2 linked regions of the Caenorhabditis elegans genome follow. The protein of the gene in region 2 purifies or fractionates together with the protein of the main gene of each other region. This does not show direct contact. Each region holds a gene or a part of one and is shown on either strand. Other genes may lie near its edges. The genes, in order: immt-1 and mtx-2.

Region 1 (6,934 bases), on a different chromosome or scaffold from region 2:
ATTCAATGTGCCTGCTGACGAAAAAAAAACACGAAAATGAAAAGAAGCAGCGAGCCCATCGAGCCCGAGGGAAATTGAGAAAAGAAAGAGAATCAATAGCGGCGGATGAGAGGGTGCAAACCCGAGGAAAAGGCAGCCCCACTCTCACTGCCACATCGCTTCGAGACCCTCGCTTCAAACTACGGTGAATATACTCTGCGTCTCTTAAGCATTGCTGGGCATGTTAAAATTCTTGCGCTTTAATAAGTTGTGTATGGTGACTGAGAATTTGTATATTTCAAAATTCTATTTGAATGGAAAGAGTTAATTGGAAGAAAAATGAAAAAAGAAATTGAAAATCAATTATTTTAAAAATAAAATATAAGTTCTAACACTACCAATTTCAAGTACACTGGCCTAACCAAACAAATGACCTTGGCGATTTTTTTTCAACATGAAATGCCCAGATACAAACACCATTTATCAATTGTACACTGGTTTCTAATGGTTTCTACTATTTTTTTAGTGCATTATCAATTTTTAAAAATTTCCGGTAAAGTGTACATATCAGGGGTGCGCGGCAATTTCGGCAAATCTACAAAATGAGCCAAAATGAGCAAAAAGTGATATATTTTATTAAATGTTAAAAATAAAATATAGAAAAACACTTTTTTTTTAATCTAAAAGTAATGTTTTATTTAATATGAAACAACTGTAAAAATGCTCAAAAATAGTATGCAAGTTGAAAATTGCCGGAAATTATTTTCCATAATTTGTGGGATATTTTTCCGGCTCTTATTAAATTAGAGACAATTTCTAAGCAGTTTTTTATTTTTATTTTTATGAATTATATTAAAGATGTTTTCAAATAAAGCAAACATTTTTCTGAAGTTTAAGGAAATATCTGGTACTATATGCTGCACTTTTGCTGCACTTTTTTGCGTACAAATGTTGATTTCTAAATTGAAAAGTTACACAGAACAGTAAAAATTCATGTTGCATAAAATTTTAGGACGTTTATGGCACTTCAAATATCTTTAAATTTGGCCACTTTTCCAAGTCGTAGTAATCCAAAGCTGCTATTTTAATACTATAATTTTTTCCTATCGGTTTTAAATGTATTTTAATTAACAAAATTACGGTACTTCTGTAGTGTTTACAATTCTGAAAAATTAACGTTACCCTTTTTGTCGATATTAGGCTTAGGACTAAAGTTTTTTTAAGCTTAAAAATACAACCAAATTCCGCGTTTTGATTAAATAATCACTTTTAAAAGTGTTGGAAAATTTTTATGGACCAGGTGTGCGATACGGAAAAATGGCCGAAATTGGAGATTTCACTTGAAATACGTTTTTTTTTCGAAATTTTCAACCGGCAAAAACTACTTTTTGAAAATTTTTAATGAAGTTTCATTATAAAATTCGTTTATTTGAGCTCATTTTGGGTTTATGCGTTCAAAATGTCCCAAACGTTTAATGCATCGGCAATTTCCCTTTGTTTCCCTGCCACACTCTTCCAATGCCTCCCCACACAGCCATTCTTCCCGTCGTCCCGTACGCACTTACAAAAGATACACAGACATCGATTGCTGGCGCGTTTCTCGTGCATGACGCGCAACTTAATCTTCGAACACTAAACAATATGTTTATTTCTTTTTCGATTGCACTCTCTTGATTATTTTGATTTTTTCTTGATTTATATAAAATTTCGTTGTAAAATTTATTACTTTTTAGGTAAATTATTCGCTGCTCGTCGCGGAAATGTTTCGTATTGCATCGGTGAGTTTTTTTTTCATTAAAAAAATGCAATTTTTAGTTTAAATGTATAATTTTTTCATTTCAGAAGCGATCAGTCAGCCAGACGTTGAAAAGAGCCCGTCAACAATCAAATCAAGCCGCTGCTCCACCGAAGCCACCAGTTCAACCACCAAAGTAAAACATACACCAAAATCGATAATAAAAACGCGTCGTATTTCAGAAAATCCGGAGGTGGCAAAGGATTGGCTCTTGTCGGAGCAACCGTTGTTGGAGCTGGTGGTGTTGTCGGATACGCGTATGTCGACCCTGAGTTCCGTCACAAAGTCGAATCCACTGTTCCGCCAGTGAAACAAGTTTTCGACGCAGTTTTGGGAGAATCTAGCTTGCAGTAAGCTTTATTTACTAAAAAAGTGACAGTCTTAACGATAATCCTTTTTCAGGAAGACAAAACAACAGATCGGTGACCTCAAGGATGCTGTAGTGAACGCTGTCCCAAAAAAGAAGGAAGTTCTTCCTCCATTGGAGCTCGCGCCACTGCCGCCTGTCCTTCCAAGAGAGCCCACACATGTTGACCCAGTGGATGTTCGCAAAGATGTGACCCCAATGATCCCAAAACCTTCTCCAGATGTCGTCTTTGCCAAGAACCAACGTAAGATTTTTTAAGCGTAATTTTCATAACAGTTTAAAGTTACAGAACTTGAGGAGAAGCTTAAAATCGCAATTCACTCTGCTGAAGGAAAAGTGCGTTTAGCCACTGAGGCCAAGCTGAAGACCATCAATGCGATCAATGAGCATGCCAGTATTCTCAAGCAAACCGTCGATGATGCTAAGCACGCCAACTGGGAAAACGTCACTTCTGCTCTTCAAAGAGCCGAAGCTGAGGCACGCGTCGACAGTGGCCAAGAGGTGGACGGGAGAAACTACATTGATAACCTTCGCAAGGTATCTTTTGGTACAGCCTAACACCCAAAAAAAAATTTATGTTTGAAATTTTGAACCGCAATGACACAAAATTTTTAAATTTTTTGAGAAACTTCATTGCGAAATTCTTTTAATGAGCACATTTTGGTCTTACACCTTCATAATAAAATACCCAGAGTCGTTAGACCATTGGAAACTAGGACTTGACTAAACCGGACTAAATCTGTCGTCCGGTCTGCGGAAGTTCGGCTATCTAGTGCCTGTTTTTGAACTGCTACACAAGTTATTATGTGACAGGTCCTATGATTTTTGTCTTGTTGCAATACTTCGACCCTGTTTTTTTTTCAAAATTTGTAAAAAGGACCTCTTCCAAGCTCATTTACGAAAAGGAATTAAATGCAACTGAAAATAGAGACGCTTGTTTAATATTTGATTAAATGCAAATTTTTAATAATAACTATTTATTTTTCTCAATTCGGACATTTACAGATTGTGAACGATGGAAAGCGAGATTCAACTACCGCCACAAATCCGCTACTTCTGAATGCTCAAGAGACTGCTAATAAGCTTTCTCATCAGCTTGATGAGATCAACGCATTGGTCAACAAGGTATTACATGCATTGGCACTTTTACCAAAAATTGTCAAAATTGTTTTCAGTCTCGTCAAGAATCTGCAGTCCTCAATCAGTACAAGGATTTGATTGAGAAGTCTCGTCAACAGTTTGCTCTTGAGATGAAGAGCATCTTGCCAAATGTTGATATTCACGCTAAAGTGAGTGACGAAAAAAATAGAAGGAATGGAGTCCATCCTCGGTTTTTTATAAAATAATGAATTTCTGTAATAGGCTCAAATGAGCCTATGATTTTGCTAAGGTGCATTTATGAAATTTTTGTAGTCAAAAGCAAAAATTATATTTATAGTTGATATGTACTCTCGGTAAAGTCAGAAGAATACAACATACCTTTAGTACAAATAGTTACAGTACAAATATATTTGAGATCACAATTTTTACAATTTTTTATAGATGCTGACTGATTCAGGAAGATATTTCAGCTGAGGATTTGATAGGAAAGGCTTCTGTTATTTTTCACAAATTGAAAGTCGAATATCAAACGTTTAAAATTTTTGACTAAACGAAAAGCCTTTTTGACATTGTTTCCTAAAATACAAATTTGAAAGTTCACATAAATTCATTTTCAGGACAAAAATCTCAACGAAGACGAACTGAATGCATTGATCGCTCACGCTCATCTCAAAGTTGACCAGCTTCGTTGTCAGCTTTCGGATCAGCAAGTTCGCGAGGAACTGCACATCTCAAAGGCTCTTGAAGAGCAGCGACTTGCCGATGAGCGGATCGCGTCTGAAAAATTGAGCATTGAGATGAGCCGTGTTGGCCGTCAGAATGAGTTGGAAATCGAACGAGCTGTAAGTTTGTTATCAAATTTGGGGTTAAAAGTTGTTTTTCCTCAAATATTCCACTTTTTGATTTCAGCTTGTGGAAAGCCGTTCATCATGGGAAGGTGAGCTGGAGAATCAATTGAAGCGCACCGCCTCGGCTCACTCTGAGCACTTGGAGCAAGTCATCCGGACTCAGAGACAACTCTTCGAGATTGAACAGAATCAGAAGGTAGAGGAGGCAGTTTTGCAAGAGCGCAATCTTCACAGCAAGCAAGTTGGTGCTGCGTTGAGCCGACTGGAGGGAATCGAAGAGGCTCTCGGAAGCCGAGTTGCTCTTGACAACGAAAACCGTCGCGCCAAGCAGTTCTGGATTGCGTGCCATAATTTGATTGACACTTTGAAACATGGTAACAAGGCCGGAAACAACATTGATGAGAGAAGACTTCCATTGAACGAGTCTTTGAATCTTCTCAAGGAGGTTAGCGAGTTTGTCAACGAAATCAACTTTTTTACATTTTGTTACTATTCTACATTTTCATTTTAATCTGAATTTATCGTTTTCAGGTCAATCCAGAAGACGAGTTTGTCAACGCCATCATCGACTCGTTCCCAAAACAAGCGACCACAGTTGGCACATACACTGAGCAGGATCTCAAAAACCGCTTCGAGCAACTGTACAAGATTGGTCGCAAGACTGCTTCTATCGATGAGAACGGAGGAACCTTAGGAGCCTATTTCTGGTCGTACGTCAAATCCCTGTTCCTCGTGGATATGCCACAACAGTATGGAAATTTAGATGCTATTGATGTGAACAACACTGATAACTATGAGGTGAGGATAGATTTGAGTACAGAATACATTAGAGTGGGTCATAATTATGCGGATACGTAAACAACTCTGCTCTGCAACCCCTAGGTGATTGAACATGATACATAAAATTGTATAGCTCACATATTCCATAAAAATCTGGTCATGATTCCATTTAAAAAATTTAAAAATATTTCCATCCACGTTGCTCCTGACTCTTAGAAATTTTGAGGTTGGATTTTTGGCAGCAGATTAGCAGATCACTTTTGGCGTTTTCCACTGTTTTTTTTTTAGAATCCGGCAGAAATTCCGTACTTTTATAAGAATACTCCAGATTGTGAGATACGCTCGTATGACTTCGTGGTTGATTAGTAGTCATGTTAAATATCATTAAAAATATGTCAGCTTTAAGTAACGTAATGAACCCACGTTTAAAAACTGTCAGGTTTGTAAAAATCGGGCTTTTGTCTTCATAACTCGGGTCTCTATAAATATGACCCCGTTGTGAAAAATAAATTTGATTCGAATGGCAACATTCTTATTCCGATCAAAAAAATCAAAATTCTTATCTCATAATTTTTATTAAAATGCTTGTTCTTTATTCCGAGAGCTTCCCAGTCCCGTACGATGTCCGTACAAAAAATATCAAGTTTTTTTAAAATTAGAATTCAAACGTTTTGTAAGACTAGTGAAACATTTTTGTTCAGATCCTTTCCCGCGCCAAGCAGTACGTACACAATGGTGATCTCGATAAGGCGATTCGCGTTGTTCAACTTTTGAAGGGTCAGCCAGCTCATCTTGCTCGTGACTGGATCGTCGACACCCGCTCCTACCTCGAGTCTCGCCTTCTCGCCCAGCTTCTTGTGGCTCACGCCGCCGTCTCCTCGATTCGCTCAACTTATTAGAACAATTGATTGTCTTGCGTCACCGTTTTTTAAAATTGTGTTCTACTGGTTTTCACTACACTCATTTTATTTTTCTCTATTTCTCACCCTATTTAAAACGATCCAAATGTTTTAAAAACGTTTTGCTGCTAGTAGTATTGTGTGTGTGTCTTTTAGAAACCAATTTCTTGTTGGTAGTTTATAGTAGATGGGTGTGTGCACATTTTCTCCCCGTTTTTTTTTCCAAACTCTCGCCGTCAATTTTTTCCAAGTTTGTGTAGTTTTTCGAACCGTCGATGTATTGAATAAATGTGAAAATTTTACAATTTTTTACCAGAAATAAGTATGATTTGTAGAAGTTTGAGACAAACAAATAAAGAATCTCTAGAAGTGCAGTTGCGGCAGTTGGGGAAATTGTTAAAAGTCACACTTATGGTGTCAAAAGGAAATTCATTTGTTTTTATACAATTTTTAGACATCGGGTGGTTAACAAATTGATCCAAAAGACCGAATTTACTAATGAGATATTTTAAATGATATCCAAAAAAATTTTTGAGGTTTAAAAAAAATAAAATTTCAAATTTGAACAATTTATCCGTCTATGTAGTTGCGATTTTACAAAAAAAATTACATTTTTGTCGTAATTTCAAACTGCCGAAACAATTTTTTTTCTAGTCAAAGTTTTGGCGAATTGCTATACTTTTCAAAACAATATGTAACCAACATTTTCTGTTTTGATGGACTTCCAAAATTATAGGTTGTTATACTGTCCAATACATTTATTCAGAAGTTATAAAACTTTATACAAAGTTGAGGCAATAGGTGTCACACACCTTCTGAAATGCACATAATTGCAATGCTAGAAAGCATGAGAAGCATTATACAACGGGAGAGGAAAGTCACGTAACCTTACTTGTGTACCGACAAATTGAAAATGAGAATAAATCAGATGAGAAAAAAATAGTTAATAAATTATGAAATGGTACATAATGTGTAGTGTGCTAGACGTCACTTGCTTCGTGACTGTCATTGCGTCGAGATCTGAAAATATCATACGTACAATTTTGAAACAGTGTCACGTGCAAAGAATCAAAATCATTTCACTTTAGAAGTAAAACTCATGCAAAACGTTGAATGTTTGGAAGCAAATCGCAAACCAACACTGAGAAAAAATCGCATAAAATCG
Region 2 (4,340 bases):
TATTTCATTTCTATGAAAACTAATGGAAATAAAGAATCTTTGAAAATGATGAATACGATGCTTATAGGTGTTTGTTCTACCTAGGCATTAATGAAAATATTAAAGGAAAATAGTAAAAAATTCTAAAAAAACATACAAATCGCAAAAAAAAAGTCGATGGGTGTTGTTTCTTTCAATATACATTCTGTATTCGATTATTTTTGCGTTTTTTTCAAATATGAGAAATTTTTCAAACTTGATTTTTCTTGATTTTTCAGGAATAGATTTAGTAATCTATTTATTATGCAAGAAATACTAAATAATTAAAAGATCACCCTCACTAATACAATATTTAAGCTGATTATCAATACAAATGTTGTCTTAATACAACATTTTCTTTCACACTTGTCGATTGATTTCGGTATACTTATGACGCGGTTTCATACATCACTAACAACTTAAAACTCACTAGCTATTACAGTGTGAACATATAGGAGAAGACGGCAATGGCAAAAGTCAAGATAAATAACTTGAAGCTATACAGAGAAACTGTCAAAAGAACAATTATGCCAGCTTGTCAAATGTACAAAAAGAGCCAGAAGTGATGACAACGACATCTATAAACATTGCAACCACAAGAATCATAACCGTAAATTCGAGCTCCACAGAATATAACTATTTTTCTAGTTTTCTTTCATTGGATCTTATATTGAAGCTTTGAAATATTCATGTTTCAAGTTAAAAAAAATTATCGCGTAACTCTAAAAAGTTGTTAAACATATATTATCAAAATTTATTCGTTTTTCTTAAGAACAATCTGAACACACCATAAAATCATAGTTGAACTACTATACACTTCTCAAACGAAAAAATTCTAAAATTACTGCTTGAAATACTGTTGTTCGATTCTTTTCGTGAATTCAATCAAATTGGAGTACTTCTTCAGAATATTTGTGATGTTTGTCAATGGCAATCTGACAGTTATCAATGTGTACATATGTCCAAAGAGTAAAGCATCAGCTTCGGTTGGAAGATCTCCAGTTAGATATTTTTGACTTCCCAGTTGAGCAGAGAGAGCACGGAAAACTTTATCGGCTTGTTCACCGACTTCGTCCATTGTCTGAAAGAAAGGAGTTTTAAGGGAAATTCAAAAATAACCTATTTACATACCTTGGTGTCCCAGTCCTTATCAGACAACTCTTCAAGAATCTTTCGACGCTTAACAAAAGGCAAGACAGACGAAAGTGGCCAGTGATAAACACTTCCGTATCTCAACTTTGTCACCTTATCGTACGTCTCGTCGTGGTTCCAGAGTACAAACTTCTGAAAAAATTCAATTAAAAGTTAAACAGCTATATTAATTTCAATTTATTTCATTTTTAATAGATAATCAAAAACCGAAAATGTTTGATTGTTTCGGAAAAAATCCTAAAAAAATTAGGAAACAGTTTCTAAATTTTTACCAACGTTAGTTTTAACAATAAAATAATTTAACAAAATTCTGAAAATAAGAAAAATAATCGAAATTTCAAGATATATTTCGAGCGGCAATTGTTTTGGGCAAATTTCTATCATTTTTTTAAATTAAAATTTGTATAAAAATATAGAAATTAACATTAATTTTGTCTGAATCATTTGAGAAAGTTCTCGGAAATACCCTGAAAGTTGTCAATTGCCGATTTTGAAGCATTGTTTTTTCTTTGTCCGTCAACTTTTATTCAATTTTTGAGAACATTTTCAAATGTTTCAGCCGAAATGAATAATATTTTCAGATTTTCTATTTTTTGACAGTAATATTCTTTTAGAAAAATAATGGAACCACGTGGCACAATCAGGGATGGGACTTATTTGGTTTTTTTTTTGTTTTTAGTATTTTGACGATAATTGTCTAATATATAAATTTTTCATTGAATATTACCTCGACAGTGGTAAGAAGATGTTCGATCATCGAAATATTAGCTCTCATGTCGGCAACTTGCGTTTCGCTGAGATGTGATGTAAGAGTGACTCCTTTCTTATGCACGAAGTCGACAATGGCGTTGAACCCTGTGATGAGAGTTTTGTTGATTTTCAGAAGTGGGACGACTCCTTAAAATTATATCTGCATTCGAGGATTTCAGTACTTTCAATATCTAACCATCAGGAGAAATAAAATCTACATTCGGTCGTTGACGAACATTGAATGGCAATGAAGTCATTCGAAGGAATGTTTGAACGGCGAGGCAATCAGCAAAATCGTACATGAGAGCTTGGTCATCTGGAAATATTATATAATTTCGCAAAAAAAACACCAAGGCTGCTCACTGAGATAAGGTGTGAAGAGAGATACATCTTCCCAATCCTGAGCTGCATTCATCGACAAGGCATCAGTGACCAATTGGGTTATCACCCCGGAGCTGCTCATCTGAAAAAGAGCAAAAAAGCGTATAATTGATTATTTAGAATTTCCAAAGTATTAAGAAGGTTGTCTAGACCACTCCGTAAAAAATTGAAAAAAAAGTATTGAAAACTTATATTTAAAAAATGAATATTCATGAAAATAAACAACTGTAATTCTTTAAAAAACCAACAATGAAAAAATTGAGTTCAACAATAAAAATAACAAGAAAAAAAGGAAATCAACAAAAATAGAATCACTCGGTCGTCTTCTTTTTGAGCCAAGGCTTCTCTCCGCGAGCATTTGGTCGACTTTTTCTCTTTGCTTCAAATCCGGATCGTTTAGCAATTTGTCTGCTTCCTCCGGTTTTCGCTTGTGACGAGACAGTTGCTTTGAGACTTTCCAAAGCTTTTGAGTATCTGAAAAATGTTGATGATGATTTCAGGTTTAATTTTTAATTTTTTACCTATCCATATCTTTTTCAAAAATGTACTCTTCCATTTGCTCTTCTACAGTATCTCCCCATAAATTTGTAACTTTTAGCATTTTGACGAAAAGTCTCTTTGATTCCTTATCTCCAACACTAATCACATATCCATCTTGTCCAGCTCTTCCAGTTCTTCCTGCTCTGTGCACGAATAGTTTGTCATCGGCAGGCAAATTGTAGTTGATGACACAATCAACCTTGTTCAAATCAGTTCCTCTTGCCAACACGTCCGAGCAGATCAGAACTCGGTTTTCATTTTTATTGAATTTTTCGAGCATTTTGTAACGTCGTTTTCCGAATAACTGAGCCGTGAAATAGTCTACCTCAAACTGATCCTTGCACAATTCTTTAAGAACGTGCGCGAGCCGATTTGATGATGAAACTTCATTGACGAAGATCAAAGTCCTGTTGAATTTATTTCTAGTGATTTGTTGATAAACTGCTAGCGGATGGAACTTTGGATCCGTTACAACGAGGCGATGAGAGATTGAAGAAGGAAGGGCAAGTCTACCAGATACATGATCAACTTGAGGGATTCCAGATGTGATCTGAAAATTGTAAAAAGTAAAATAAACGAAAATATTTTGCATGACGATTTAAAAAAAACGAATTTGGTTCGGTTGAAAATATCAAAATGAATTCTGATGTACTTTTTATAATTTTTAAAAACACTCACATCCTTTACAGAAACTGCTGTTGCTGAAAATAATCTCGGTTTGAACAAATTCCATAGATGAAGCTCTTCCACATCTTTCGATAGTGTTGCAGACAGAACAATTTTCTGAGGAGCTCTTCTTTGTCTAATAATATCTTTTAAACAAGCCACTCGTTCCATTCCACCGCATAAGAATTCTACTAAATCCAACCATTCTTCTCTCATAAGCTTTCCCATTCGATCCGCTTCATCCACAATCAAGAATCTTAATTTTGAAAGGTCAATCGGAGGTGGAATTTTTGAAGTGAGGTGTTGCACAAGTCTCGCTGGAGTTGCCACGATAACATTAGGAGGATCTGATGCCAATTGACGAGCTTCTTTCTCAAAATCGTTTGCTCCACTAAGTGATACTACTTTTGCAACACCACTTTCGTCATTCCATCGTCTTAAAATCAGAATTAAAACATACATTTTAATGTTACTTAATACATACTTGAACTCGTCCACAATTTGTGCAACAAGTGTTTGAACTGGTACTAAAATAACAGCTTGTAGAATTTTGGATGGTTTGCTCCCGACAGCCGCCAGAACTGGGAGCACATAGCAAATTGTCTTTCCACTTCCAGTTGGAGCTGCGATCGCCACGTCACGTGGACGTAGTGGTGGTGGTGATCGGATTTCAAAGAAAAGAGATGGAAGAACGGCATACTGAACTGGAAACCATGTTGAAATTGCAGATGGGACTGTGAGATGCTCAGGAAGCTCAATTTGAGAAAGTTTTTGTGATGTTGAAGAATCGATTGTCGCTGAGAAAGTAGTGGCGTTTTGAACCCAGGAACTCG

What was found.
Region 1: the proteins of mtx-2 (region 2) and immt-1 fractionate together in Caenorhabditis elegans (co-fractionation; one large-scale study listed by BioGRID). This does not show direct contact.

What each region holds. Positions count from the first base shown.
Region 1 is NC_003284.9:2,681,963-2,688,896, reverse strand, and holds immt-1 (MICOS complex subunit MIC60-1), read left to right. Parts: upstream 1-1,712; 5' UTR 1,713-1,739; coding exon 1,740-1,757; exon of another isoform or gene 1,758-1,821; coding exon 1,822-1,910; intron 1,911-1,956; coding exon 1,957-2,124; intron 2,125-2,176; coding exon 2,177-2,385; intron 2,386-2,430; coding exon 2,431-2,678; intron 2,679-3,146; coding exon 3,147-3,266; intron 3,267-3,316; coding exon 3,317-3,430; intron 3,431-3,859; coding exon 3,860-4,084; intron 4,085-4,151; coding exon 4,152-4,535; intron 4,536-4,621; coding exon 4,622-4,888; intron 4,889-5,571; coding exon 5,572-5,769; 3' UTR 5,770-6,143; downstream 6,144-6,934. Other genes in the region: ser-7 (G-protein coupled receptors family 1 profile domain-containing protein), read right to left, coding at 6,750-6,789.
Region 2 is NC_003281.10:7,761,221-7,765,560, forward strand, and holds mtx-2 (Metaxin-2 homolog), read right to left. Parts: upstream 2,384-4,340; coding exon 2,284-2,383; intron 2,237-2,283; coding exon 2,117-2,236; intron 2,068-2,116; coding exon 1,898-2,067; intron 1,303-1,897; coding exon 1,150-1,302; intron 1,100-1,149; coding exon 860-1,099; 3' UTR 757-859; downstream 1-756. Other genes in the region: Putative ATP-dependent RNA helicase ZK686.2, read right to left, coding at 2,613-2,775, 2,823-3,391, 3,520-3,943, 3,992-4,340. UniProt on the Caenorhabditis elegans protein: Involved in transport of proteins into the mitochondrion.